Schizosaccharomyces pombe: one gene and its partners. Changing the gene in region 2 together with the main gene of any one other region gives a genetic interaction. Each region holds a gene or a part of one and is shown on either strand. Other genes may lie near its edges. The genes, in order: pso2, dnf2, hel2 and php5.

What was found.
Region 1: mutations in dnf2 (region 2) and pso2 impair growth when combined (synthetic growth defect), as found in Schizosaccharomyces pombe (one large-scale study listed by BioGRID).
Region 3: mutations in dnf2 (region 2) and hel2 together harm fitness less than expected from each alone (positive genetic interaction), as found in Schizosaccharomyces pombe (one large-scale study listed by BioGRID).
Region 4: mutations in dnf2 (region 2) and php5 together harm fitness less than expected from each alone (positive genetic interaction), as found in Schizosaccharomyces pombe (one large-scale study listed by BioGRID).

The regions. Positions count from the first base shown.
Region 1 is NC_003424.3:1,155,987-1,163,732, reverse strand, and holds pso2 (DNA 5' exonuclease), read left to right. Parts: upstream 1-4,250; 5' UTR 4,251-4,940; coding exon 4,941-6,623; 3' UTR 6,624-7,246; downstream 7,247-7,746. Other genes in the region: DNA-directed RNA polymerase III complex subunit Rpc11, read right to left, coding at 281-610; rps2201 (40S ribosomal protein uS8), read left to right, coding at 1,097-1,489; COP9/signalosome complex subunit Csn4, read left to right, coding at 2,381-3,514; protein mug103, read left to right, coding at 3,733-4,107. UniProt on the Schizosaccharomyces pombe protein: Required for DNA interstrand cross-link repair. This requires cleavage of cross-linked DNA to generate DNA double strand breaks (DSBs).
Region 2 is NC_003424.3:222,471-232,066, forward strand, and holds dnf2 (phospholipid-transporting ATPase), read right to left. Parts: upstream 6,767-9,596; 5' UTR 6,214-6,766; coding exon 5,842-6,213; intron 5,763-5,841; coding exon 1,926-5,762; 3' UTR 1,610-1,925; downstream 1-1,609. Other genes in the region: serine/threonine protein kinase (NDR family) Sid2, read right to left, coding at 1-1,382; SPOM_SPAC24B11.14 (uncharacterized protein), read left to right, coding at 8,075-8,211, 8,273-8,329, 8,360-8,666; hem3 (hydroxymethylbilane synthase), read left to right, coding at 9,185-9,596. UniProt on the Schizosaccharomyces pombe protein: Catalytic component of a P4-ATPase flippase complex which catalyzes the hydrolysis of ATP coupled to the transport of glucosylceramide, phosphatidylcholine, phosphatidylethanolamine, and small amounts of phosphatidylserine from the lumenal to the cytosolic leaflet of the cell membrane and ensures the maintenance of asymmetric distribution of phospholipids.
Region 3 is NC_003421.2:1,832,043-1,838,403, reverse strand, and holds hel2 (ubiquitin-protein ligase E3), read right to left. Parts: upstream 3,831-6,361; 5' UTR 3,792-3,830; coding exon 3,695-3,791; intron 3,650-3,694; coding exon 3,452-3,649; intron 3,394-3,451; coding exon 1,490-3,393; 3' UTR 940-1,489; downstream 1-939. Other genes in the region: RNA polymerase I upstream activation factor complex subunit Spp27, read right to left, coding at 5,344-5,490, 5,662-5,811, 5,945-6,156, 6,229-6,361. UniProt on the Schizosaccharomyces pombe protein: E3 ubiquitin-protein ligase that plays a key role in the ribosome quality control (RQC), a pathway that takes place when a ribosome has stalled during translation, leading to degradation of nascent peptide chains.
Region 4 is NC_003423.3:3,391,188-3,398,551, forward strand, and holds php5 (CCAAT-binding factor complex histone fold subunit Php5), read right to left. Parts: upstream 5,320-7,364; 5' UTR 4,514-5,319; coding exon 4,169-4,513; exon of another isoform or gene 4,124-4,168; coding exon 4,094-4,123; exon of another isoform or gene 4,036-4,093; coding exon 3,163-4,035; 3' UTR 2,717-3,162; downstream 1-2,716. Other genes in the region: mitochondrial F1-FO ATP synthase peripheral stalk assembly factor Ina17, read left to right, coding at 1-117, 164-195; lys9 (saccharopine dehydrogenase), read right to left, coding at 630-1,982; mitochondrial [2Fe-2S] cluster assembly NADPH-ferredoxin reductase Arh1, read left to right, coding at 6,441-6,647, 6,730-7,364. UniProt on the Schizosaccharomyces pombe protein: Component of the CCAAT-bound heteromer, php5 is essential for DNA-binding activity. It is essential for transcription activation of cyc1. It is the linchpin that binds to the subunit association domains (SAD) of php2 and php3 to bring these proteins together.

The DNA of each region.
Region 1 (7,746 bases), 930 kb from region 2:
GAGTAAAGATAGAAAATAGTTTAATCAATTAAAAACATCAACGAAAGTCTACTTAAAAAATAATGGTGGTTAAATAAATCATATTGACCCTAATACCTATACCCAAGTTGTGAACTAAGTCTGACGTTCCAAGCAAAACCCATATTATAAAGTGATGAACAATAAAGTAAAAATAAGATATATTTACACGAAACATTGAAGACACAAGGATAAACACAAGCAGTTTATTCACTGTCCACCATCGATAGCAAAAAATCTAACAAACCAAAAAATAGATAAACTAATTCTCACGCCATTGAAATTTGCATTTGGTACAACGATAAAAGGTACTCATAGGTTCATCTGCACTACGAATTTGAAGTTGGAAGAAGTAAGCACGATTATTGTCACATTTTGTGTTTTCACAAGTGACTTCGGTTTGCTGATTAGATTCAAAAGCTTCTTCTCCACCTAATACATCGTCAACTTCCTTTTGGGCAAATTCGTGACGACTGTAGAGAAAAGTAGAAATTGGAAAATGATAAGGACATGTTCTACAGTCGAACGCATTCCTTCCTTCCTCGTCAACCGCGACAATTAAGTGATTTCCACAAGTAGGACAAAACTGCATTATGAAAGCTCAAGTAATAATAAAGTGATGAGCCCTCTTAGTGGTTTACTCCATATGTTATAATTTTGCAAACTAAATTGGTTGTTTACAATGTCATGACTTTAAAAGTAAATTATTAACCGACAACTTCATAATCTACGCTATTTTTGTTTTGTGAAATTTTACGAAAATGTCAATATATTTGTTAAAATATAAACGTAAGGATGTAGCTGTAACTCTTCATTAGTTTTGCATTTCAAGAAAGTAAATCGCTCACAGAATAAAAAGACGAAGAAAATTTTTGTTTTCTTCTTTCATTCATTTAATTACATCAAATTGTATTTTTCTTGACCGAATTTTATCTAATGACCATTCAAAATATAAGGAAATATACATATTATGCCCTAAAGTACGTTATGTTCGTAGACATGTGACTGCTTTTTTTGAGAACAAACATGCTCCTATGCCGAAACAAAACTTCTCTCATACCAGCAGCAATTTGCAGAAATGGTTCGTCAATCTGTTCTCGCTGATTGTTTAAACAATATCGTCAACGCTGAGCGCCGTGGACGTCGCCAAGTGCTCATCCGTCCTTCCTCTAAGGTTATCGTCAAGTTTTTGACTGTCATGCAAAAGCATGGCTACATTGACGAATTCACGGAAATTGACGACCACCGTTCTGGCAAAATTGTTATCCAGTTGAATGGTCGTATTAACAAGTGCGGTGTTATCTCTCCCCGTTTCAACGTTAAGCTTAAGGATATTGAGAAGTGGGTCAACCAACTTTTGCCCTCTCGTCAAGTCGGTGTCATTGTTTTGACCACCTCTCGCGGTATCATGTCCCACAACGAAGCTCGTGCTAAGGACGCTGGTGGAAAGATTCTTGGTTTCTTCTATTAAACTCAGTTATCTTTCCTTTCAACTGAAAAATAAATAAGCCCTTCTTTGTTATTTCAATTTGCGCTGTAGTTACTGTAAGACTGTTCGTATTTTTTAACATTCCATTAAAGAGTGTAAAAAAGGTAGTAGAGGAATTAGTAAAAATGGTGCTTAAAGCCACTTGAATATTTTTGCTTTCAGAGTTGGAAATCGAATGTAGGGTAAACTTTCTTGTTGTACTGACTAATTTGCTAACAGAAGCTGTTACTTTTACGTTTCAATAAATGTAAACTTTTATATTCAATTTTTATGTATCTCATAATTTCCGTAATATAATCGATCTTAGATATGAAGAAAAAGTATGCATATCTACATAGTTGATCCTGAGAGGTAAGACATCTTCCCGTATTGCAGAGAAGACCCCTAATTAGATTATTTTAAAATAGTTGAACCTATTTCATAAATGTGCACTTTTCTACTGTTCCCATTATCAACATCAATTTTAAAACTTAACAAACACGACAGCTGAAGAAAGCAAAAGTAAATAATGTCGGTATAATTCTAGCATTTAAATTAATTAAAACATCATTAATGAATACAGTTGACATCGTCAACTTTTTTATTTATAAACAAATCGAGATGTATAATATGTACAATTCTAGAGAAAAATGGCGGCAAAGTTACTTTACGCATTTCTTAACTCTTTAAATTTATGTTTGCGTAAATTTGAAAGAATAATGTATTTAAATCATATTCTTCTTCCAATTATTAAATTACGATACTTTAATTAGTTGATTGCCATTAAGCTAGAGGTGCGAAACTTTGATTTTGCTACTCTTACCAAACTCACATTCAATGAAGAAAAGCCATTCACTCCCACCACTGAATTATTTCTCCCAATAAACCATCAAAATGGAAGAAGTAGTTCATTATTTCCTGGAAGGGAATATGCCGGTGGCACAGTTTCGAGAAGCATTAGCTTTGCATTATACAAATGAAAAAGAGCTATTTGAGCAAGCGAAGAGATGTTTAAATATTTGTTGCGGCAGCAACAACTTTGCAAAACGGAACGACGTTTTGTTTTCTTTACTTGATGTTGCAGTTAGCATTTCGTCTCTTGAGTTACGGAAAGAGTTAATATCTGAATTATATGTTCCAGTACAGTCGTTAGAGGAGGCACCTTCAGAATATTTGGTTTCCTGTTGTTTACAATTAGCCACTATTTATGAAGCTGAGCAAAATTTTGAGCTTTTATGTTCTTCATTGGAAGCTGTCGAAAAACATGGTCATTTTGAAAACGACCTAGAGCAACTCTTGTTATTAAGAATTCGTTTAGGAGATGCTTATTTAAAGTTAGGAAAAGCTGAAAAAGCAATTTTAACCGTAAGGACAAGTATACCATTGGCATTTAAAGTTAGTAATGATCAATTGCTAATGGAACTTCAACTTTGCAATGCTCGCGCTCTCGATGAAACAGGACAATTCCTAGAAGCTGCGAAATGTTACTATCGGGTACTTCAATATAAAGTACCTGGAAATGAACTAATTTATAGAGAGAACTTGTGTTCAGTAGCTCAATGTTTACTTCTAGCGATTCCTTCTCCTATTGTTTTGCAGTTCCTCCAAGAAATCTCTCTCCAACCATCCGTCCGAGAAATCCCGTTTTATTCTCTAGTCGAAAAGTACCTTAAAAGAAAGTTTATCGGAAAAGAGGACGGAGCCTTTCTGTTGCCTTTTCTACTTCCTCACCAAGTAATTCATATGAATAGATTGATAGAGGATGGTCGACATTTTTTGGAAACGAATATCCTTTTTCTTTCAGAGTTTTTTGAAGTTTCTTCTACATCTATACTTGCAAAACACTTTAAACTTTCTGAGGAACAGGTTGATACAGTTGTTGCTGATATGGTGATACAAGAACGATTGAATGCTTCAATCGATCAATGTGAAGGATACATTACTTTTTTGCCAGAGTATGGAAAAGCAAACAATCTTCCTAATTATGTTAATAAAATTGCAACCGTTCTTCAACATTACGGTTCTTAGACCAAATGTGAAAAAAAAAACTGTTTTATAGTTCATCTATTTTATTCATTTAAAATAATATTTATTGTATAATGTCATAGAAATATTGACGTTCTTATTTGTATCTTTTTCACCTCGTGGTCGCTAATGTTTGTTTACATTATAAGTAACTTCCCTCTCTGCCTGTTCTTATATTATTTACATGTGCTTGTAACTCCAATTCGCAGTACCAATTGGTAATGGAGCAATTTGAGATAATCAGAGAATCGGATGCTGATCCTTACTACTTTAATAAAAATCTTCGACTAGAAGAATGCGAAATTGACGGGTTTACATCAATTTATAAAGCTCCACCTCCATATTCTTTTGTCGCTGGTCTAAGTAAAAATACTTCTTCTAACAGTTTTGTAATCCACAAATGTCTTCCACCTTTGCAAAGGAACAATACAATTAGAAAAAGAAAGCGAAATCCTTTTCTAGCTGACAGACCTTATTGTATCAACAGTGAGGACATGCCTTTAAGTGATGACCGAGATATGTTAAAGGAACGACACGTCAAATCGCGAAAACTTTTATTAAAGGAAAAAGGAAATCGTTTTTACCGTAGAAGTTGATTTTTATAATTATTACCACCTGTTTCTAACTGTTTGTCTTAAAACTCCTTCGCATGTTGATGATTTGTTTTAAGGAGCTTGAGCGAAGACTACTTTATGCTTGCCAAGAGGGTTTTTTTTAAGTGTTTTGCCTTGAACTGTGCAATTGCAAGGCTTTTCAGTAACAGGCCTTATTGCCATTGTAGGCCATTAAGAAAGTAAAAGGAAAAAAAATTAAAATCATTAAGGAACGCTAAGCTGCAGTGAAAGTATATTTCTCACTAGCTTCTCCAAATCGAAGTTTTTTGTAAATAAAACGCATTTTCGTGAATAATCGATGCTTTTTTTTTAAGGTGTTTTTTTCTTTTTTTTTCATTACTTCAATTTTCAGTTATTACCCTTCCTTAGGTATACTTCTTTTTTTTACATTTTAGACCAGATCCTGACCGACCAATTTTGGATCATCCAGCGTCACATAATAATTCATCCATAACACTTTTTAATACTTTGAAATTTATAGTTAGAGGTAAAGTTTCTAAATCTGTTTCCTTTGTTTTTTCGTTTTGATCTTTCAAAGGCATACCTAATATTCTACGACTTCTCATACACATTGTACATTAGAAAAAGTCGCTCTTGACGTCTACTCGCCGTTTCCTTAACTTCAAGACTTCTTTTAAGCGATTCTTGCGGATTTATCGTGTCTTTCCTCGAATAATAGCTTTCATTATTAAGCTAAACGAAACTTTACAACTTTTGAAATAACTTCCTTTAAAAGAATTCAATCACTTACTGTTGTTGCTTATACACCAAAAAACAAAAAACTAATAATTTTGCCTTTGTTTACGTTCACTGAAATGAGTAAACGAAAGTCATCGTCTATTTTAGATTTTTTTAAAAAATCTAATAATGGCAAAAACATGTGGGGTAATGAAGCTGTTTCTGTTGAAAAAACTGATTCCACCACCAAGCCCTCTACAGTAAAAAATGCAATTTCAAGTTCCCAAATAAAAAATGAGAAATTCTCACAGGAAGTCTTATTACAATTCAATGATCCAAGTTTCACTTCTGAAGTGGGTGAGTCTCCTCAATGGCAATCTTTTGGGGATGCTAACATCTTAGAACCTTTAAAAAATGAGCTGGTTAAAAACGAGGAGTCAACCATGTCTGAATTGCTTCTTTGTCCAATATGTGGAATAACTTTGGAGTCTTTAACTGTCGATGCCAATATACATGTCAATGACTGCCTAGACGGGAGAACAACGGAAGCTGTTTCAAAAAAGCTGAAGAAAGACTCTGTCGTTAAAGCCGATCCTTCGAATTCGAGTACATTCCCAATATCTGATTCCTGTAAACAGGCGTTATTACCTTTACCTGGAAAGCAAATTAATGTTCGGTCTGTTGTTCCTTTCTATAAATTAATGCCTTATAATATTCCTTTTGCCGTTGACGCATTTGCTTACGGTGCCATTGATGGTGTTGAAGCTTATTTTTTGTCACACTTTCATTCTGATCACTATGGCGGTTTAACTCCAAAATGGAAGCACGGTCCTATTTACTGTTCAGAAGTAACAGGAAATCTTTTAATAAATGTCATGCATGTTGATGAACAATATGTGAAGCGTCTCAAACTAAATCAACCATATAATATAATGGGTATTACTGTATATGTTTTGGATGCTAATCATTGTCCAGGATCAGCTATGTTTGTTTTTGAAACGCTTCAGAGTAATCAAACAAGACGTGTTCTTCACTGTGGAGATTTCCGCGCTTCTAAGGATCACGTTATGCATCCTGTTTTACGAGAGAAGACCATTCATAAAGTTTATTTGGACACTACATACTTGAATCCTAAATATACTTTTCCACCCCAAGCGGATGTTGTTCAAGCTTGCGCCGACAAAGCAATATCTATCAAGAAGTCAACAGATTCTAGGCTTTTGGTAGTAGTTAGCACTTATAGCATCGGGAAAGAAAAAGTAGCCGTTGCTATTGCAAAATCTCTTTCTTCACGGATTTATGTGGTTCCTCGAAAAATGCATATTATTAAACAACTTGAAAATCAAGATTTAATAGATTTATTAACGGATGATCCTACGCAAGCTTCCGTACATATGGTCACTATGATGGGAATACATCCGAATTCGCTTCTTGACTATTTGGAACAATACAATAGTTCCTTTGATAAGATCATAGGGTACAAAGTTACTGGCTGGACATTTCAACCCTTGGAAAATCGTGCACAACTTAGCAGTAGCTTAGACTCGATAATTTCCAGACCACCGAAATTTGTGGAATACGATTTAAGAGCGATTAGAGGAAGCACCGACAAAGTGGCAGCTTTTGTAGCCCCTTACAGTGAACACTCGAGCTTTTATGATTTAACTATGTTTTGTCTGTCGATGAACATTGGACATATTATCCCAACTGTAAATGTGGGTAGTCAACGGTCTCGTGAAAAGATGAATGTATGGCTAGATCGTTGGGCTTGGCGCCGAAAGAAACAAGGCCTACTTTCATTGGAAAATGTGGATTGGTAAACCAAAATCTACCACAATAATTTTCCTTTCTGTTTCTTTTAGGGTTATACGAGCTTGTCTGTAGCTATTATTTATGGTTCTTATAATTAATGTTAATGTGAGCAAAATGTTTTTGTATGTATGCTTTACTATGCCAATCCTTTATCCTTCTATATTTTATTTTTTTTTTTAGTTTCAGGAGTGCTAATACAAGATTATACAAAAAAATGACACCAAAGTGTAGGTGTATATTCATTTAAATCAAACTATGAGCTTGCAAATAATCCAAAACTTTTAAACTTTCTTTGAGCTTCGTTTTTTTATGATCGAATACTTAACATTAGTTCATTTAGGCTAATTTTCTATTTTTTTTAATTATAATAATAGAGCAATCTACAACGAATTGTCATCAAATAAACACCTTTCATTATAAAACACATCATCAATTTTTTTTCTAATTTTTTTGTAATAGCATTCGCCATTGATGAACGATGAACCTTAGTATAAAAAATTCTCATAAAACATTGCCCCGAGAGTTGAAACATCATAGGCGAAGGAGCTCAAGATTCAAATTTCCACTACAGAGAAACAACGAAAATAATTTAATGGAAAAAAAATCAAGCTACTCATAAATAACCAAAAAAAAATTCCAACAGTCCAGCAAAGGGTGTTAAGAGAGAAGAAAAATAAAATAAAATAAAAAAATATATAACAAAATTATAAAAAGTAATAACAAAAAGACAGTAAAAAATGATTGAAATATGAAATATTGTTGGGATTTATGGAAGCCTAGTCAACAAAAGACTGACTAAAACAAAGTTATTGTAGTTGAATACAGATAAAGATATGAAATTATCAATAAATAATTTCTTCCCAATGAATCTATAGGTAATTAATACCCGTAATTAACAGATTTAGCAAGTCATAAAATTCTCCCACTCCAAAAGGTGGCATAAAATAAACTAGGATCCAAAATAAATAGCAACATAACTTTGATAATAGCAGTATAGAAATTTGATATCCAATATAACTCAAAGATGGAAAGCATGAATGCCTATCAGTCCAGAGTATATATGAATTATGCGATGAGTCTTGATGTTGTTCGTTTCAAACAAAACAAAATATCGAAAAAAAATAGTTAAAA
Region 2 (9,596 bases):
CACTTGCGCCAATTCTTCAAGTTAGACCAGGTTTCATTAACATTGGAGCCAGAAAATGGAGGAAAACCAGAAAGACATTCATACATGATGCAGCCAAGAGACCAATAGTCTACAGAGTGGTTGTAGTTTTCACCTCGTAAAACCTCTGGGGCCATATAATCAGGAGAGCCAACTACTGAATGAGCGTATACAGGATCCTGAGATAAAAGAGTTCGAAACACTTGTCGCCTTTCCCTCATGCTCCTTTCGGGAACAACGACATTGTTGACTTCTTGAAGACGAATCTTCATACTTTCAATCTTCTTTTTGCTGATTATTCCAGAACTTAAACCAAAGTCCGTCAATTTAATATGGCCGCTAGCTCCAACCAAAAAGTTTTCTGGCTTAAGGTCACGATGGATGTAACCAAGTTGATGCAAAGCATCAATAGCTAGGAACATTTCTGTAGCATAAAACTTGGCATGATGATCCCTTAAAACACCACTGTTGCTAAGCAAAGTACGGAAATCACCACCAGGAACAAATTCCATAGCGAGATAAATGTTTGAAGTATCCTGAAAAGCATAAAGTAGACGAACTAACCATTCCGAGTTGGCTGTCGTAAGGATATCACGCTCAGTAAGAACATGCCTGATCTCATCCATTTTATGCAAAACCGATTTATTCATGATTTTCAAAGCAACAATCTCTTTGGTGTCACGCTTCCTAGCCAACCAAACAGAGCCATATCCACCTTGTCCGACTTGAGTGATGGTCTGGAAATCTCCGTGACTAATGCGTGTCCTCCTTTTCCTTAGATATACTCGTTCACGTCCATTGTATCGCTTCACTAGCTCGTCTCTTCGTGAATCAGGCTCTTTAAGCAACTGCTCTTCAAAAAGACGGGCTCTTTGCTTGCGGGTATAAAGATAATGAAGCTGCTCAAAGTAATGGTCTAAAAAGAACATTTGACAAATGGTTGCCATTCTCTTTACCTTAGGTTGGACCACTTTCTCCATTTCTTCAACTGACAAGTTCATAGATCCATTTTCCCATCTTGGTGAACCCGTTGAACTTCTATCTGACCAATGATTATTATCCTTGTAGCTCAACTCGCCAGATCTATCAAGACCACGCGGAATAGGGCTTGCAATCGGTAACTTACTAATGTGTTTTGAATGCATATGATTGTCAGGATAATTTTCCTTCGAAGATGCCACTGGGGAAAGCTTCATACTATTAAATTGATCCTCCAAATTCCTTTCTTTATCATTATTCGACAAGTTGCCGGGTTCAAAAAGACCATGTCGCTTCATATATGCATCAAATTTCTTATCTGCTTCAGAACTTAGCTGAAGTCCTAAATCACCTTCAACTGGTGACATATCATTAACACGATTCATTATTAGTTTTCTTTAAATATGTATCGTAAACATCCAACGTTTTGGTCCCCAAAAAATGCAAAACTCCTGTCAATAATAACCTTACGTGTTTTGTTTACGGCAGAGTACATTTCCATCGGAGTTAGGTATCAGCCATTTACCCTTAGCAACCAAAGTTTGATTACAGCAGTCGCTGGAAATTTCAAAACTTAAAAAACCAACCACCAAATTTACTACTTAGAACAAGATTGTTAAAAAGTCTGTTTTTATTATTTATCATACAAATGTAAACTAGATATAGTAAATTTATCTCGTTATTTTTAAAATGTACTGTGAATGCAAAATACATTTTAAATTTGATGCAATCTTTTGATTTCAGAAGAAAAATGTAAACGTTCATGTATTTTATTTAGTATGCAGAGATGTTTCTATAACATCATAATCATTATTCGATAATTCATCATTCTTTAGTATGAAAAGTTATGTTCTTAAGCATAGCGTAGAAATAGAATGGGTACACAGATTATCTTGATTAGATAATTCAGCTTATTAACTTGCCATTTTTTAAGGCCGTAACGGCTGTTCAGAAGAAGAAATGGAACCACGATGAGGCATGTATTCGCCTCTGTTAAGTATTTCATCAGAGAACACAGGAGAGCCCTCCAAGAAACTTGGAGTATATGACGGGGTAAAGCTTCTTGGCATACTTGATGTGAGTGTAAGCGAATTTGTGTCCAAACGTAAAGGTTCTTTCTTGGGTGTCGCCAAACTTGACGAAGATGCGTTGAAAGGGACCTGTAAAGTAGAAGATGCCCAATCTGGAGATTGTTCGGCATTCTCAATCTCCTCTTCTTCATCCAATTCATGAAGGCGTTTAGTGCGGTAACTTTCGCGAATGATATCCACATCATATGGCCAAAATAACTTTTGCGTTGTCATAAACAAAAACTTCGGGAAAAGACAACTTACAATCGTTCCACATAAAACAGCCCAAAAATTTGGAGTTCTGAATATACGCGAAGCAGATTTATAAAATTCATATGTATAAAGGCTTTGAGAGTAGACGCCAGTCCAAAACCAAAATGTCAAACAACTGAGCGCCCATAAACCAATTGAAAACACATCCCAATTTGATTGATTCAGAATAACATACGTGTCGACAACCATAATAGTTGGCGCAGCAACGTAAACACCTAAATCTTGTACAGCCATAGTATCACGACCATTCTGAGCAGCTGTGGTCACATTGTTAATCACAAGAAAAGAGAAAAAGAAACAGATTACAGACTGATAAAACCCATCAAGCATATATCCAATAAAGATTTTCCTGGCTGAATTTAATTGCAAAATACCACGCTTGTAAAGCTGAGGGATCCGAAGCGACAAATCAGCATTAACATCTTGATCATAGACACCCATGACAATGACAGGTAACGATGAAAAAATCAAGTTAAACAGCATAACATAAGTATAATCGAAAAGGTAATTTGCGTCGAAATTGTTGTAAATCTGATACCAGAATAAAGTAAATGTCCATACAACACTCTTGTAGAAAAAGTTGTTTACCATTTCAGCAACACGATTATAATCCCAACGGCCATGAACAAGAACCAGCTTGCTCAAAAATCGGAATTGACCGATTGCATAATCCGCAGACATAGCTGCAGCACGGCCTTCTTCACCAACAATACCAACACCAATATCAGCTTTTTGAATCATTGCAACATCATTCGCACCATCTCCAATGGCTAACGTCATTACTTCAAGGCTTTCGCGTACCAATTGAACAACATCTGCTTTTTGAGCCGGACTAACACGGCAACACAAGACAGCCTTGCATCTTTTACAAAGTAGCAGAAACTTGGTTCTCATTGGACCATCTAAAACTCGTTTAAGTACTGATCCATCAATAACTAACGCATGAGAGCCAGAGGGAGTGTCATGATCCTTCTTAGCAGCTTCAAGTTCTTCAACTGATCCAGACAAACCAAAATAACGATATAAGTAGTCAGCTAAAATAACTTCCAACTCTGGTGTTGACACTTCTTGGTCCACATCAAACTTAATCATGTCCATGCCAGCGTCCAATAAATTGCAAGAAAAACCAATATTAATAGCAGTCTCCATTTTGTCTCCGGTCAGAACCCACAATTTGATACCGGCTTGAGCCAATAATGCAATTGAATCAGGTACTCCTTCTTGTAATCGATCCTCAATAGCTGTTCCACCGAGCAAAGTAAGATGAGATTCAATCAAATCGGCAACTTCCTCTATTTGCTCCTCACGGTTTTCAATTGCAGATGCGGCGATGTCATACTTTTCTTTCCATTCGTAATATTCCTCTTCAGTAAGCTCTCTTTTTGCGATACAAAGTGTTCGTAAACCTTCCAATGCAAAAATTCTGAGATGCTCAGAAGTGGTTTTACGTAATTCAACTTGTTCATTTGGTTCCAAACGTTCGAAAATAATGCTATCAGCACCTTTGCAAATAAGCACATAACGGTTATCGGGTCCTTTAACGATCACACTCATTCTCTTCCTCGCTGAGCTGAATTCAATAGTATCCATCAATTTGAATCTTTGGGTTTCTCCAAGAGCACGAGTAACCATAATGTCTCTCCGCTGGTCCAAAAAAACAAAGCCAACGTCGCGGGCGGTACCCACGAGTGCAGCTTCATCTGGCGATTGTGCTTTATAGACAATCCGGTCACCAACTCTGTCTGCAACTACGCTATGACAAAGGGCCAATGCCAAGAAAAACTCATAGCATGCAAGTGACTGTTCTTCACCAGCTTTGCCAGCAAGGTCATGAACAAACTGCGACGAGATGAACGTGAGGTTATCATCCACAAGGTATTTGTTGTCGTGCATATTTCGCATTTGAGAAATCATTTGCATTCGGTCACGTTCAATGAAACTTTGCTTTTGAAGAGTCAATTCTTCAGTATCCTTTCCCTCGCGTTTTGCCATTCCCGCCATTGCTTCGGTAAATGCCTCACCATACGCAACTCCGTTGATCGTACATTTTTTAAATTCCATAACATTTTGAGTAAGAGTACCTGTTTTATCAGAAAAGATATATTCCACTTGTCCAAGATCGTCAGAAATATTCCAAGATTTTGGAGTACAAGCATACTTTAGCTTCTTATAATACATGTCTTTGTCGAAATATATAAAAATTGCCTGGATGGTCTTAACGATTTCAATTGAAATATAAAGCGAAATGGGCACCAAGTTTTGAAAAAGAATAACACCAGTGAAAAACGTGACGACACCATCTTTGGCAGGAGAACCACCAATGGAACCAAACTCAAAGTAATACGAGGAGCGAGAATGACCACGCCAGGCGATTCCTTCGACAACTGCGCAAACAAAACACATGGAGAAAAGGATAATGAAATTAAGATAAACATTCCAATTAAGATTTCTAGTAATGCGACTACGCTTTAATGGCGGAGCACCAGAGTTCAGCATAATCTTGGTATCATCGCCAGTAAATACGACAACTCCAATCACCCATTTTGTATTCCTAAGGACACAACCACGCAATAGCATTGAGTCCAGACTGATGGGCTCTGAAACAGTTTGGGAGGTATCAGAGCCACCTGCTTCAGAATGGACAAAGGACTTACATGCTCCATTATACTCATAAAGGTTAGCGTGTGGTGGTTCACTCTCTATCCAAAAACGACATCTCTCGCATGAGGCCTCGTCAACTACATTCTTTCCGCACGTTAGAGCGTGACGCATTTTTAAGTTGGTTTCACCATCAAGATTCTTGGTTTCAATGTAACAAATACCTTCAGGGTCGGATGAATTAATGATGACTATATCTGCGGGAATTTCATCATTATCCATAACTTTTACAAAATCACCTACACGGACATCCTTCCAGTATGTTTTTTTGAAATGGCACTCGCCAGTAGCTTCGGCTTCATAATCAATAATATCCATGGGACGCGATTGGAGAATAGTTGCAGTCCCATCTAAAGCACTTAAGGGGACTTTGCCCTTTGAATCTTCAAACGATCGTTTTGCCTCAAAAGACTCTCTGAAAATAGAATCATAACTAGGTCTTGATTCAGAACCTGCCATATCTTCCAAAGGTACAGCGTCATTCAAACGCTTTGCTCTCTTCTTTTCCTCCTGCTTTGCTAGAAATACGCGAAAAAGAGCGGAGATCCGTTTTTTGAATCGTCTAAAGTAGCTGATGTATTCAGTACGAATGTTTGGGTTTTGATAATGGCTTAAACGAAGGGTAGGGGTGTTATTTAAATGAATATCAAGCATGGTTCGGCGAAAATCTTCAATAGCGTCTTTAACAGCGGTAATACCGACAACAACAATTAAAGGAACAGCAGCCAATCCAGGATTTACTTGTTCACCGAATATGGAAATAGACTACATAAAACGTTAGTAAAGAAAAAAATGAACCAAGATAATTGGTGATTTCAATCGTGATGAGAATAAGAAAGCATACCTGTAAAATAACTAAAAACAAGAAAAAAAGATTTGCAACATTCTGAAATTGTAAAAAAATATTTTTTGGAATAAAGTCAATGGGGGTGTACTTAGCAGTACGAATTTTGTTACGAGGAAACCAACGCTTGGCTTCACCAGTATCGTCAAGCTCCGAATCTGGTAATGGTAATCCAAAGTAAAGAGTCCTTGGAAGCTTTTGAAGGCCTCTTAAAGATTGTGGATCTGAGCCATCATATTCTTCTAACTCTACTCTAGCGGCATCAGCAAGAGGAATATTCAGACGATCAGCTAAACGGTAGACTTTGAGCCGTAAAGCCTTAAAATTGGGAAGCCAGCGCCTTTGCTTTGATTTTTCCTCAACACTTTCCATCCGACCTCAAGGAGAGTGGTCTGTAGTCAATGAGGAGAAAACTAAATTAAAGCCAAGAGTCAAATGCAGAGGGACGGCCCTAAACAAATGAAGATATAATTTATATAGGCTTTCTAAATGTAAGATATGTGGGGATTATGTGTTGGAAAAGGTACGGATAAGAGGATGTTACAAATACCGAGAACACAAAAATCTATCAACGATGCCCCAACCGAATAGTAAAACGATGTGCTTGTAAATAACGTGAAATGAAAAATAAAATAAAATAAAAAGATGATATAAAATGAAAATAAAAGGCGTGTACCAATATTTGATGGGATAATATGGAGACGCAACGAAAATGTAAAATAAAAAGAACGCCCTTTTTCTGAGACTAAGATAACAAAGGAAGCTTTATGTGCAGCCTCCTAGTACTAAGAAAAGAGTAAGCGTCGAAAAGAGGATTTTTCGAAAAAATTTACTTGGCGTATAATAAAAACGCTCTCAACCTATTTTTTACAGCAGAATCAAAGAATTGAAACGAATTTTGTAAAAACTGTGTTGGGTTGTGGTCAGACTTTCGCAACCCTTCAAAGTAACACCTATGCTTCGTTAAGTAACATAGAGTTGCAAAACAACTTGCTCATTCCTATCCCGTTATTCCAAAATATCAACGTCATGGTTGCATTGTTTTCTTTTGAAGTAGCAAAATCCGTTTACTTACTAACTGCTAAATACTTACGCGTTCCCATTGAACCAAGAGTTTTAGGACAAGAAAAGGTTTGCACTATTGGCGCACTCTTTACAGCCGAAAACATTACATTCGGCTTGAATTTTTCGATTTTATTTTGTATAATGCAGATGAATGTAGATGGTTTAAACGCCATAAGAAACTGTATATACGTTCTCGTTAACTGACCGATAGCGGTAATGTAGTGGCGCAGACGTGGCTGCCGTTGCAAATCGGTAAAAGAACAGTAGTATTCATTTGCTAAATAGCAAGCAAATTGTTGCTTAGAGCATAGTAATAGATTATTACGGTTGTTATTAGTGAACTTGCTTCACTTAAGATTAGCGCATGGCTAGTTAAATGATAGTGGGTGCGAGTTTTACGTGACTGAATGCTCTCCTATGATTTTAATGAAATCGAATTTGTTGCTATCCATCATTGTTACATTTTACTAGATCTTTTAAATTCACGGAAACATAAAATCACGTGTAGATAATTGCTGGTGGATGCGAATGTGCGGTTAAGATGAAACTGTAAACAATCCGCGAATCTAGGTTTGATCTTTTAAGATGAATTTCGAAATCAAGTCTTTAATGTACAGAGTATTTGACAATTTCAACATTATAAAATGTTACCAGCATAAACAAAACATTACCGAAACGCAAAGAGACCAACGTATAATTAGTTCCAAAAAGTAAACAAAGAGAATGTGTAGGCCGAATGAAATTGGTGCTCAGTGCATCAACAAATGGTCGCCCTAATACATCCGTATGTTGAGACAAACCCAATTTGGAGAAACAACAATGGACCTTTATCCGTTAAAACATGGTAACAAATAAAAATTAAATGGCGACTAATGTAGCGTTCACGTGACTCTCAATGAAAAGCGCGAAAATTATTCAGTCAAACCGTGACTATTCAAGCCACTCTTTTCCCAGTTGTCGCGGTGACTTGTCCATCTAGTACTGGCTGTGCAGTTCCTTCTCGGGAAAAGAGAGTTGCTAACATATGGGTTCAATAAATCAATGAAATTTATTAGAAAACTGTCATTTCACACTGGCAATAAAAAAATTGTGACGATAAGCAATTTTCCTAGTACTAGAGAATAATTTTCGCGACTAACGCGTAAACAATTCCAAAGGCATAACGACAATGTTTGCATACAATCACAAAACATTGCATGTATGTCTGCGTCTCATTTCGTTGAGGAATTGCTCCAACACATGGACATTTGTACCATATGCGAACTCAAATAGGGGGTTAAATATCAATCAGCAATTAAAGCTTTTGTATTTAAAAATTTGGTTCAAAGATTTTATTAGAAAATACAATGACTAATCTAGTTTGCAGCAATCGCCGTTCCAAAATTGCTTTGAGTTCTTTTATAATTCCCACCTCTGTTGACATGTAGTTAACAAACATACTCTAAACTTATAGCTTGGTTAAAGTTGCTGGATTCCAACGATACATCGTAAATGTTGAATTTAGCAACGTGCAATCCTACTTTAGGTATTATAATTATATTTCACTATATTTTGTTACACATTCGAAAGTCCCGTTAAATAGGTTACCGAATTCAATGATACCTTATACAGTTTTTGCACATTTTGACATTGTCCCGTATACTACTTATAGTATTTTAACGAAATATCGTTGTGCACAAGATAAGGAACGTGAGATAGTTGGGCTTATCAACGCAAGTCAAAGCAAACTTCGCTACAAATTTTGCGGGCTGCGCAATTAGCGCTCTTCTTACTGGTGGAAGAGTGAAAAAAAAACCGGCGCCTTTTTTTAATTGAGCGAATTCTTGACAAACGCATCCCGTTCTCTAGCAACCTAAAAATTTCTTCTTGAAGGTTTTCAATTCTCTCTTTCTAATTCCTTTTAATCTTATGTTTTAGAAAGCCTTTAGTTGTATATTTTACTTTTTTTTTTCTTTCAAAACACTGAATTTTCAGCATTCTCAAGTTTGTTGAGAATATTATACTTTGGTTTCTCGGTATCCGCGTTGCGCCAAAGGCTATTTCTTCGTCCAACCAAGTTGCTTCCTTTTTGATTTATTTCATCGAGTCTTTACACATTTATATTTGGCGGGTTTCTCACTCCTTCTGCTCACGCACCCTTGTTTTTTGGTAACATCGTTTGCTTTCAAAAGTTTTTGTTTTTAAAAGTTCTGTACATTTGCATCTCCCTTTTCCCTCGTTAAAAAAAGAGATTTATTAGTTTGAGCATTGTTTTGTACATTCTCTAATTAATTGTAATATGCCATCCTGTACTTCATTCCCCATTGGAACTCGCAAGTCAAAACTTGCTGTAATTCAATCAGAAATTATTCGTGAAGAGCTCGAAAAACACTACCCCCATCTTGAGTTTCCAATCATTAGCAGAGATACTATTGGCGATGAAATTCTCTCAAAGGCTTTGTTTGAATTTAAGCGTCAACTAGCAAAATCTTTGTGGACGCGAGAACTTGAAGCTTTGCTCGTCACTAACCAATGTCGTATTCTCGTACATTCTTTGAAAGATTTGCCCTCTGAAATGCCAGATGGTATGGTGATAGCCTGTATACCCAAACGTAGCTGTCCTTTGGATGCCATCGTCTTCAAGGCTGGCTCCCACTATAAAACTGTAGCCGATCTCCCTCCTGGTAGTGTTGTTGGAACCAGCAGCATTA
Region 3 (6,361 bases), on a different chromosome or scaffold from region 2:
AGGATTCCTCTTCCTTTATATATCTTCAATGTTTCGATTAACAGGTCCATTATCCGGTTTTTAGTTTCGCTGCACATTGCCGAATGACAATCGGATTCCTTTAAGCTTTGCTTTTGCCCTGTTTTCTCTCCCCAGTAATCGTTGGGTGACTGAACCATCCAGTAGCCGAGAGTTACGTTTTTCCTGATTTAATAAATATCCATATCTATTTGTCTCGTGGTGTTTTACAGCAACTAACCGAAATTACTATTTTGCATCATCCAACCATAAAGAGACAACAATAATTCTAGAAAACATATAACAAGTGTTTTTTTCTATTTACGTCTCATACGCAAAGTCCACTTTACCATGTTTTGGAAACTTGTACCCAACCATTCATTTTTCGATTTTGTAATGAGGCTCTTTTCTTCTAACAATCATTGAGGTCATTATCATGTGTCCTCACCTATTGTTTAAATTGAGGCTTGCGCTATTCCCAAAATTGTGGGTATTATTTTCATATATCAGTATCTGCAATTTCGGTTCAACTTTCTTATCAAGAAAGAGGATTAATTTCTTAACAAAAACCTTCTTTGTTTTATAACGCTGATTTTTGTATTATTTGGCGACCAAGGTTATAAGTGATCCAATCCAAATGTCATAACTTCAGTTGATCCCTGCGGAAAATATAAATCAGATTAGACATATGGTTATATAAAAAAAAAGAGAAATTATTTGAGTTCATTGAAACTTCAACGTTATTTGACTAAAACTTGTTAATTTACATGTCTGCAAGATTAATCCAGCATATTAAATAAATTAGTTGACTTATGTCAAACAAATAATACATTCTTGATATTATTAGAAAAAAAAAAGAAAATTGAATAACTTGTGAGAAATGATATTGTTATTATTTTAGATTATGTCCTTTGAAATACAATAACATGCTAAGGCACTTACTACTTAAGCCTTTATTACTTTAATGTGCTAACAATCTTCTGTATCCTTAGACGTTAAATTTTCCCTTATTAAAAAATAAAAAAATAAAAAAAAAATATAGGAAATGAAACAACCGCTGATGACTTATTCTGTCTTTTATGGCGATAATTTTCTGATCATTCACATGTGTTGAGATTTTTCGGAAATACTCTTCCATTACCTTTGATTTTAGCAAAATGGCTTGCTTAAAACAACAAATTTTTTTAATTAATCAAATTTATTTTAAATCTATTACTCGCTGCCGGTTGATATTATATCAAGCTAATTTTCATTTTATTTCTGAAAAAACATCCAAAATTAAAATCATTTTTCGCAGGAGCATTAGCGGAGGACCCTCAATGTAATGCTAATTTTTCCAAAACGACACTTTCTTTTATGAGGTCAGATAAACAACCCAACAGTCAGGTAAAAGGTATAAAGTGCTAGATTATAAATGAGTACATCCCAAAATTATTATATATTAACGAAATGCCCATCCATCAATAAAATTATTATATACAATAAACCAAAATCAACCAATGTGAAACAAAACAGTTTGCTTTTTTCCGTTTTTTTTCTTTGAAACACCCATCGTATTACTATTACGATTGGAAGAAGTATTTGGTGTAGACCCCCATGAATCAACGGGACGAGCCTGCTTTTTTCCGAGTTGAACAGAAATTCTCTTCGAGGTAGAAGGAGGAAGTGCGGGAAAATCTTCTTCAGATCTTGCATTTAACGCAGATGCACGTGCTTTGCGCACACCCCAAGAAGGAGTATTTGCAGCTGAGCTGTTCGTTGGCCTTGAGGTAATATTTGCTAGGTTTATAGAAGATGATGGAGCAGACAAAGAAGGCCCATCGTGAGCTGCTGCACGCTCAATACGATTCCAAACACTAGCTGTTTGAGCAGCAGTCCTATTTGATCTCTTCAAGCGCAAAAGATTAGAGTTAGTAGTACCTATACGAGTATCATCTTTCGCATTCAGTATTTTCCATTCCTGCCAAGCTTCCAACAATTCCCTTGACTTCTCTTTATTTTCTAGAAGATTTGCTATTTGGTTGAACACGCCCGACAATTGCTCATGAGGCTTTGCAACTAATTTTGTAATGCGAGCAACAGCTTCACGAGCGGGCATAACATTACCACGGAAGGAAGAAACAGCAAATTTAAAGTCATTAATTTTGTGATCATCGTAATTCGTCAATTTTTGCATCCGATCAATTACTTGTTGGTGTTGTGCTTGCTCGGAAGAGGCCATCGGGGATTTAGTGCCCTTGGGTGGAGATGGAACATGATTTCTTGAAGCAGACTTACCAGACAGACGAGGCGCGGAGACAGGTACTGAGGGTGCGGAAGAGCTATTTTGATTAGCAACCTCGGCTAAAGAGGGGAAATCTTCGTTTCTTAACGTTCTAGTTTTTCCTCTGCTGATGGTTCTAGTAGATGTCGCTGGGCGGGCAGATGTAGGCGCCGGATTTGATAACGTGAAACCAAAATCACGATGGCGAGCTTGTTGCTCGCGAACATATTCTTCTTGTCGTAAGTGAGCAATCTCTCCACGGGAAAGGTGTAGGTTAGAGAGTGAGTTGGCAGTCTCATTCACTGAAGTAGATTGTTCGGATGGTGTGGAAGAAGTTCGTTCACGACGGTTCCTGCCGGACGCGCCGGGTGGGTCGTAACTAAATTGAGGAATAATTCTTCGTGCTTCTCGAAGTTCGCGTTGAGTAAAGTTGTGGGGATGCTCATCCAACTGATGCGCTTTCAAATCTATTTCAGTTCCAAAAACAACAAATTTACGTTCCAAACACTCCCTTTCACGACAAATATAATGATCTTTTTCAAAGTGGCGCTCTAACGAATCATAATTTTTAAAGTACTGATGCGTCGGCCTTCCTGCAACTTGGTCACAGATGTAACATCGTTCATGTTTTTCACGGCAATGCTTAAACAACTCATCATCATCATAAAAATGGGTATTACAAAACTCACACTTCGGGTGACCCTTGAATCCAGTAATCTCTAAATCGGATCCCTGATCTCCAACTTCATTGTGCTTTGTCAATCCTTTCTTGGAAAATAGCGTGTGTTCATGGGTAAAAACCTTTTTGTTCTTAACACAAAGATCACAGAAAAACTTATGGTGTTTGACCTTCGCATGCAGCTTTAAATCAAACCAGCCTTTGCATGTGATATCGCAAGCGTCTTCTGGACAGTTGAATTGAAGCAAGAGGTTGGATTCTTCTTGAGCATGCTCGTCAGAATACACAATTCCAAGTTTCTCATCTTGGAAAGGAAGTTTTGCTAAATCGACATCATGAATATCGATTTCATGATCTTTAGTAATGAGAACCGTATCCCATTCGGTTTTACAAAACGTACATTCCTTCGTTTTGTATAGCGCTCGCAATCTCAAAGCACAAACATGACACATTCCTAATTAAGTTAGATTAAACATAGTTGTAACATTTTTAAAACATGATACAAGACATACGATGATTGCAAGGAAGGACGCAGCTGTAAGTAATACCTTCAGCACAAATGAAGCAAATTTGCTCATCCTCATCCTGTTCTTCTTTGGAAGCATCAACAGTAGCGACATTACTGACAGGATCTGTGCCAACCGGCTCTAAGCAAACTGCATTTTTTGGAGTTTCTACCGACCTAGAGCTTACCGGTTTCTCTTTACTTTCTTGAAATGTGTTAAAAGGAATATGTCAACAAGGAAGTTACGTACGATTCCTATTAGTTTTTTTATTATGAGTCCTAGAATTCTTTTTTTCCGATGCTCTGTTGTGCTCCTTATTATTTAAATTGGGGCCCGAAGGCGACATTTTGATTGTTTATAGAAGATTGCGTGTATGGCGCTGGGTAAATAAAATTTCGTAAAGCGAGCTGCTGTATGCTAAAAAAAACAGTTTAGCTGGAGACCTCTGAATTAGCTGGAATATCGCAAACTAAGAATATATTTATAATTTCAACATTATTGGAAAGTTTTTAAGCTTCTGAATTGATTTTTGAAACGTGCATCGAATATTTTGTTAGAAACGTATATAGCATTGAATGTACAGCGGAAGTAAATAGCAATCTCTTATAAAGGGCTTATATAATTTACTAATTTGTTTTGAAAAAAATATTCCCCTAACTTTTTCGCCATAATCTTTTTACTTTGTGCTTAAACAAGAAGTCGTGTATGTATGTAAGCAAGCGTTGTCCTGTCTACAAATAAATGCAATTGTTACAACTGTTAAATGTGGCTTCATCTAAAGTGTGATTGGATCTTTAGAAGTCGTAAACACCATGAAATGATTCAATCAATAATAAGTATATTCATTAAGGACTAATATAAAAGAGAAGAACACTTTCCACTCAGTCTAATCAATTTATAAGTCTTTTGACGGTTATAAGCAGCAATCTTCCAAAAAAAAAACGACCCACAAGCACACAAAAATGTTTATGTAAACATACTCTAACAAACGGATGACAGGTTTGCAACCCCAAAGAAAATCCCAAAATAAAATAATAAACAAATTAAAAAGACAGTACATTATTTGAGACTTAAAAGCATATATCCAGAAAACATCCATTTGCGTATAATTTAATATATACACTATAGACACAAGACGAGTACTAGTCATACAACCAAGCCATATCTTAGATCATCCAAAACTGTAAAGCAAACATCATATTATGGGTTTGTAATACGCAAGGGTAGTAAATAAAATTTATTATTGATGATATGGCTTCGACAGCTCCAAGCGACGGTGGTTTCGTAAACAAAATTCCCCGACAATGGGCTGAAGTGAATCATTTTTTATTTCAATGATATTATAGAGCAAAGCAGCGGTAAAATAATTAAAGGTGCGGTGAAGAAAGTGTTAATACAATACATGAAAATCTCCATCATGCACAACAGTTCATTTAGAAAAGAAAATCAATATGCTATATGAATTTATAAAAAAAAGCACAAAGATATCCATAAGGAATAGGTGATAAGAAATATTCGTAAAATCACAGTCAGTCTAACGTAAATTACCTCTTGTAGCAACCCAAGGTCTAAAGTCAGCAACCTGAACTTTTGTTTTCACACTGCATTTAAGATCAGAAAGTTGTAATGCAAAATACGATATCTGATTATGCGTGGAGACTCTCTAGACATACATAGCCTCTAGTATTAAAGCACGGATATGACATGGACATAGGCAAAATCTGTTGAGGAAAAACAGGTAAGCAAGCGAGTATTGAACGAAATAAACATTTATTGCATGCAATGAAAGCAAAAAACTTGAATGATTTTTGGAGACAAAAAAAAAAGGGATTATTGCAAGATATTATATGAAAAAAAGTTTTGGCTGTTTTATATGGTCATGCAGCAAACACAAAGGCTCAAGCGGTGGATTCGGCGGTAGGAGGCTCGACCAACTCTTTTTCCTCCTGCTTGGGAAGATCGTTCGGAGCCGCTGGTTCTTCATTTTTAGGCTGAGGTTTGGGCAATTGATCATCAGGAATCTTCGTCATGAGATTTGTTAAGTACTATTAATTAAGTTAGCTTAGCTTCGGCAGCAGGTAACAAAGAGCAATGCGGAATGTTTTCCACAAGTAACCAAATGAAAAAAGTAGACAAGGAAAGTTACAATCGACAAAGTAAAAGTTTGTTGACAAACCTCCTTAAAACAATTGTGAACCCATCCATGATTAACTTACCTTGTTCATGGTAAACATATGCAAAGTGTCGACTTCGAAAACGCTTTTCAATTTGTCATCACAAAGAATTGTTCGCTTGTCGTTGGGATCTTGTAAGTCATGTGCTTTTATATACTCCCATAACTTCTTCACAGTTTGGGGACGAGATAACTACGTTAGTTAGCAATCAGCAGAGAAAGCGTGCAAATAAACATTTAGTATGTAAGCCTGCCTCTTTTTTCAAAACAACAAGATTTTGAATGGAACGAGTAGGCACGGCTTCCACACTACAACACCGCCTTACCTGTTCAAGACCCAAAAATTCGGCCAACTTAGGGGACAACTTCATAGGCTTATTCAGAGGATTGTTGGCAGGATCTTGGTTCCTCTTGCGTTTTCCACCCTCTTCTCCATCTTCCTTGCGTTTTCGGGTTCTCTTTGCTGGTTTCTTGCCTTCTTCAGTGCCATTTTCCGTCGCTCTCTTACCCTTGGTTTTGCGAGCGGGTGCTTGTTTTTCTACAAGTTTGGTTAATTATTATTTCTTGCATTATTATTTGCAAATTTCTTCCAGCAATATTCTCATCTTACCTAAACTCTCCTTCTCTGAAGGTGCGGCGGTTTCATCAAAGCATTTCAAAATCAGCGCATTCAAGTCTTTTTTATGCGCACTCAAATCTACCTTTCTTCTTTCTTCTAAAAGTTGACGAACTTGCTTCGCAGA
Region 4 (7,364 bases), on a different chromosome or scaffold from region 2:
ATAAAAACTACGCTAGACCTCTTGGTAAAGTGACGCTTTTTGCCTTAGCAACTTATTATGGATTGGAAATAGTTTGGTGGAAATTAGATGCATCAGAACAGGAAGCTATTAAAAACAGTAAGTTGTTGATATGTGAAAGCTCTTTTAGTTTGTTGACATTTAGGCGAATTACGGAATTTAGAGAATGCGAAATAAAAACACGAGATTTGTATGACCCAGAAATTTAGTAACGTATATGGCTTAAAGAAGCGAGATTACGATTTGTTAATAGTTCAGTATGTCAAAAATTCTTTGAATAGCTAAATGCTACAGACGAAACACTCAGTCAAAAGGTCCTCGAGTTGTTTGTTCAAATAATCGAGAAGAGGTTATTTTTTCTTCGAGTTTTACGTCGGTTACCTAAGACTAAATACATCTACTTAGAAAATACGAAAACCCCAAGTAAAGCTTCACATAAATAAGGTTGCAAAACAAACTGAACATTTATACTTATGAACATGTAGATAAATTGCCAAAAAAAAGGTTGACGAACTCTAAGATTACGAATAATTATAGAAAATGAAGAAGCTTTGGTGTTCTAAAATGTCAAACTTATATATAAGAGTTTGGAACCAAAGCGTGAAACATGCTTACTCTTCGTCAATAATTTCTTCCTCCAATCGAATACCTTCTTTGGCAAGTGTATCAATCAATGGACCGCAAAGCTTCATATCATTAGGAGCCAAAACACCTGGGGTGTTAATAACACCATCAAGAATTTGCTGAGTAGCAACACCACAAGGAACGCCGACTAATTTTGCCATAGAGGTGTAGCCATTAGGAACACCGTAGTCAAGCAAAGTGCAAGTACGAGTTTGGCGTTTTCCTTCTTTGGTTTCAACTTCAAACTTGTGTTGAAGGATTAACATATCACGTTCACCTTCTTCGTATTGCATAAGTTCCTCCAAGGTAGCGCATAAGGTGTCCAAAGGATTACCACGAGGAGTAACGGGTTTGCTAGAGAACATACCAAGCCACTTCAAACCATTCAAAATGCGCTTCTTGTCGTCTTCATCTTTGAATTTGTGGATGGAAGAAATTTTCTTGATTAGGTCGGCTTCGGAGGAAGATTCAGCCTTGATGACACGAGCAGTAACCTCCTTCCAAGGCAAAGCGGGTGCTTCAGGAGATAAGTATTCCTGAGCTGTCTCATCCAAAAATCCCATATCAACCAAACAATGAATAAACTCGGGAAATCCTTGGTAACGTAAAGTACCGCGAATGATAGTTTCTGCTTCAGGTATTTGATAGCGCTCTTGGTAGACAGTGGAATCACGATTAGGATAACAAACGAAAGCGTAACCGGGATAGATGAAATAGGGTTTAGCAGTTTCCATCAAATCCTTGCCGTCAATTTCAACAAGTTTGCCGTTTTCATAAAACTTGGCAGAGTTGCGAAGAGCCAACAAAACACCACGAGAAGACCAAGAAAACTTGTATCCTAAAGGATTGTTGGAGTCCTCGGGAGCGGGAAGACCTCCACAATAAGACAAGAAAGACTTAATCTTACCGCCAGCTTTATGAACCTCTTCAATGGTCTTGATAGCATATAAATGATCAATACCGGGATCGACGCCGATTTCGTTCATACAAATAGAACCAGCCTTGATGGCAGCTTCCTCCAACTCAGCCATTTTGGGATTCACATAACTGGTGGTACAAACGTGTTTACCATGCTTAATGGCAGCTTTCATAACTGTTGCATGATAAGTGTAAGGAATCAAGCTGATGGTAAGATCATGTTCGGAAACAGCTTTCTCAAGAGCTGCTTCATCATTGACATCCAAAGCAATGGCTTTGCTGTTTGGGATACCATTAATAAATGCTTCAGCCTTAGAAAGAGTTCTGCATGCTACGGTTATATTATTTTCTTTACGACGAGATAAATATTCTAAAGTAGGATGAGCGACAAATCCCGAACCAAGTAATAAGATGGAAGGCATTTTGATGTTGAAAATGAAAGAGGCAGTCAGTTAAGGACAAGTGGTAAACCAAAGACTTCTGTTTTGTCGTCACGGTTTTAGCGATATATAAGGGGTTCCTTTTTATCCACAGATTTATTTCTGATGGCCGAAATCGTCGTCTAAATTGATGAAAACTGATTATCTCGAATCGGTTAAAAAAGCAGTCACATGGACCATTTTTTGAATTAATATTTAATCGTTACGTTTCCTCTCAATGTTATGTTTGGCTTACTAGGGGAATTCGTTATTATCGACAAGTTTAGTCGATAATTTGTTAGCAGCGATGTCGCAACTGATAGTTTTAGCAACTTTTTTTACGTAGTTTTTTTCTGCAGAACAGAAGTTGCTTAAAAGCTAGTAGATGCCATTCGTTGTTGTTTGGGGGTAGATTAAAGAATTCTAAGCTTTAGTATAAGAATAATTTGTTTCTCCTCTTTCTGCCTATCTGTTGTTCATAATCAACTGCGTAGTTCTGGTGAAGGAGTAAATTAAACTGCCTCGCACCGCCGTACTCATTTTTACCTCGAGTATGGTGGCCGTGGAATGGTGGTTTTTTATGCAGTCGGGAATGAAAGCAGCTGTAATTTCCTTGCATAATGAGCCTAAATACCTTTTTACATAGAAGTTAAAATTTATGAGATTTTAAATTAAAAAATCATCAAAAGTGCAAATTTTCAAGTACATATACGAATAAATTTAATTATAAAGTAAACCTAAACGTTGTTTAAAGCTAATTGCTTCTTGGTAACCGATTGCAACATGCCATCATTTATTTACATTGACAACCCGTAAATATCCATAATAGGTAGAATGTTATCGACAATGAATTTCAAATGCATATATATGTTTAAGTAAAACAAAATACTCTACACTAGCAGTCCCGCAATGGGAAAATAAAGAGGCAGCAAATATGAAAAGCTTCCGTCATTTCTTTTTCGGTCTTGCTAAAAAAATAAAACCACACATAGCTTAAAAAAAGTAACAATGACTAGACATAGCATGTCATGAAAATCAACTGTTTCTTTAAGCTTTTGTAGATAAACCGAAAATTGACAAATTGAAAGTTCCACCTAAAAATGCATCACTGTTGGATCCTCCCAAATAATTTAATAGAAATTATTTAAATTGCATGTTCTAAATCAACAGGTATTAAAAGATATTACTGGGGTTGTTGCGAATAGCGAGAAAGAGGGTTTTGTTGCTGGGAAAACTGCTGATGCATTGGGTTTCCCTGACGCCCTTGCTGAGTTTGATACATCATAGCGTTTGGCTGTGAATAAAGTCTCTGTTGCTGATCGAATTGCCGAGGAGATCCAGGTCTTCTTGACATACCATATGCAGAAGGATCAAACATTTGAGACTGTTGCATATTAGGTCGCATATTACCTTGAAATTGGGGCATTTGATATCCCATAGGGGATGACTGCAATCGGAAAGCTGAGGATCCAGATTCGAGATGCGTAGGTGGATAACGGTATAAATGCTCAGCCATGTACGGTGCTACCATGACCGGTCTTTGCATATTCATCTGGTTAACATTTCCGGAGTTATCTGACATTTGTAGTTGTGGATATTCAGAGCCCAGACGCTGCTGTTTATACATAGATTGATCAATATCTTGCATTTGCTGCATTCTGGATGGATGAGAGGAATACTGCATTGAAGGCTGACTTGACTGTTGATTTGAAAATGGAAGTTGACTACCAGTTGGCATTGGAAACCCTTGATTGGGTAAGCCAGCTTGAGTGGGGAAAGGTTGTAAACCATTCATACCACCCATAGCAGCAACTTGAGTAGCAGACATATGAGCTTGACTGGAAGATGCGCGGGAATTATTGTTATCTTTAGATATAATATCAATTAAGAAATCATACATTTCAGATTTTGATACTGCATTTGCAATATCGGATCTTTGTAGTGTCCTTCGTTGATTTTTTTTGGCATGAAGCCAAGCCCTCATAGTAAGCTCTGCAATAAATATCTCACTTCCTTTAGCGAACAGAAAAGGAGCTTCTGCCGAGATCATTTTATTCTAAAAAAATTAGTAAAAGTTAATGTCAAAAAGTATTCGAATACTCAAAGTAACGTACCTTCACATCATCGTCAGTTTTCATAACTTTCTGCATAATCAATAGTTAGTAATTAATTCAGAAAAAGTGGCATACCTTAATACGAGCTAAGGGAAGATGCAGAGTTTTTACAGCTTGATCGTCATGTTCCAATGTATCGATGGTTTTTTGCCAATATTCAGCAAGGGCTTGTGCATCACTGCCAACAAGACCTTGAGTAACATTATCAAATGGACTAGCAACCTCAATGGGTGCACTAGCGTTGTAGTGATTGACAGCAGTTGGATCAACATCGGGGACTGGTTGTTGGAAGCGAGAAACAGAATCTTGACCATAACCTATCCGTACCTGAGAATTAGGATTGCCAGAGGGATCAACATATTCTCCTAAACCTTCGGGAAAGCCTTGTTTCAAGGAATAGGAATCAGGAATAGAATTCATTTTGCAATGAATCTTAATTGAAAAACGAAAAAAAGTCTACAGAAAGGCAATTTAGTTTAAAAAGAAAACTGGAAACGTAAAGGCCTTTGCCAATTAGATAAGAGATCAATGCAATCTCACTGGTGACAGGTTTAAAAAAACGACAATGACAAAAATTGTAACTATGCCGGGATCTAACAAATACCAGTTTCCTAAAAACAAAGCTGTTAAAGAAACTGACAATAATTTAAGCTAAAGAATTTCAAATCGAAAATCTAAATATTAAGAGGCGATAAAGATGCGGATTAAAGAAAACTTCCAATACCTTGATGTACAGCTTAACAAAATCGTAACCAAGATAAGTAGAAATAAAATAGAAAGGGAGCGGAGTAGTCTCCGGTAAAATGGGGAATTAAACTTATATGAGAGGTGAGCAGGAGACGAAACAGGGAAGTAAAACAAATTGACGTCAAGTTGAAGAGTGGAACGGAAAGAAAAAAATAAAAAGTTTTACAATCGAAAGGAACACGAACGGCTAAACACGAGGCTTAGTTGCAATATCTAAAAAGATAAATACCAATCGTCTTAATTCACGAAAAACTCGTAGAATGAGTAAGACAAAGCAACAAGTGCAGTTACTAACGTATCTCTAACACATTAACTTCTTAAAACAAAGAACTTCAATAAAGAACACTAGTAAAGCACCTTAACTCGTCGAAGTGTCTTGAATTATCTATGTAGCGTATTACACCTGGCTTAATTAAGTATATAGAGTGCAAAAACACTCAATATAGCGAAAATCGGTACGATTGAATTTATTGGTGGCTGGCAGAAGATGGTTGGCTGTCACACAACTTATTGATGGAACCGGTTTATAGTACCACATACTTTGTTTCTACAATTGCTAAAACACTTTAACGACACGTAAATATTCATTATTTGATATACATAATTAATGTTTTCGCGGTAGTAGATATAATACTATAAACAATAGCATGTGCAAATATTATTCAGTAATTAAAGCAAACAGAATAGAAAATACGTATAGTAATTGACTTCAATCCAGGAATTACATTAAAATACATCCTTGTTAATTGAATCTTACGCCTTTTTAAAGTCCTCGCAAAGATAAAGCTTACCGCGTTACAATTTGTTGGTCTTACAACAGTTCTTTAAACGTGAAAGAGTAATTGACCTTTATAAATAGAATTATTTTGAATGTAATAAATTCTTATTTTTTGTTTTATCATTATAATAGTAGGAATTAGAAAACACTTTCAAGTAGCTAGGTTTAGCATCTTTATAAATAAGTATGATTGAATAAGCAGAGATTAATTATTTTTAAGAAATTTAAATATATCGTTTTCAAATTAACCATTTGAGCCACAATCATCTAACTAGTTATTTGAAATATCATAAAAAAATCATTGCAGAAATCAGTTTGAAGCTGCTTAAGTCACTCATAATAACAACATAAAACACTTATTTGAAGGTTTGCACTTTACTATATGAGATGTTTGTTGCTGGTAATATCGTAAGCAACGATCAGCAAAAGTTCTGTTGTAGCGTTTGATTCAACTTTCCTGTTTGTAATTACCTTTGATTTAATAAGAAATTTCCTTTTTCTAAATACTGACTGATCTTATCATATAAATGCTTTGCTCTCAAAAGGCTTGGCTGCTTGAACCTGACCACTCATCCAATGCTATAAAATTCACTAGTTGTATAGGTGTCACCAAACAGTTTATTGAGATTAAACATTTAAAGCTTTAAAACTAATGAATCAGTTTTATTAAGCATTGGTAGCTTTTCTTTTCGTTTTGAGGAGAGTCCAGTTGTTAATGATAATTGCTGCTAGTTTTATATCAGATTTACAATCACGAAGATATCCTTCACTTCTTCATTTCAATCATTTTTTGTTTTTCTTTCATCTTAAGGCTAAGAAAGGATGCTATCACGATTCATTAAAAGAACATATAGCACTCAAACTTCTTCACCTGTAGTCGGCATCATCGGTTCTGGGCCGGCTGCTTTTTACACAGCCCACAGACTCTTACGAAATGACCCAAATGTCAAAATAGATATGTTTGAATCCCGCCCAGTTCCATTTGGGCTTGTACGTTATGGAGTTGCCCCAGATCATCCAGAAGTTAAGGTAAGTCTGTTAAGCCAAGAAATATTGATTGGTTTAAAAATGGATCTTATTAAATTTATTATACAGCTAACCTCTATTGTAGCATGTAGAACACAAGTTTTCCGAAATTGCTGAGTCTACACAATTTCGCTTCCTTGGTAACGTAAACGTTGGGACTGATGTTTCTTTACGGGATTTGACTAAAAATTATGATTGTTTGGTCCTTGCCTATGGAGCTGCTGGGGACAAGAGACTGGGAATTCCAGGGGAGGACTTGTCAGGTGTTTATAGTGCGCGAGAAGTGGTGGGTTGGTATAACAGTGATCCCAGAAATCAAAATCTTGAGTTGGATTTAAGTCAGGTAGAGGATGCAGTAGTTATTGGACATGGTAATGTTTCACTTGATGTAGCTCGAATCCTTTTAAGTAATCCTGCTCAATTATCCCCAACTGACATTAATCCATTGTTCCTCAAATCACTTGAAAGAAGCAATTTAAAAAGATTACACATTGTAGGAAGAAGAAACATATTTTCTGTCTCGTTTACTATCAAAGAATTGAGAGAACTGTTTGCCCTATCAAGTGCAGTTTTCTTTGCTCCTTCCTTTAATTATTCTACAAAGTGGATGAATGAAACAGATGCAAGCGGTTTGGATAGACCTAGAAAGAGATTGTTAAAGCTATTAGTTTCCGAAATCCAGAAAGCTGTTTCAGAGAAACGAGTAGCCCCTTATTCAAA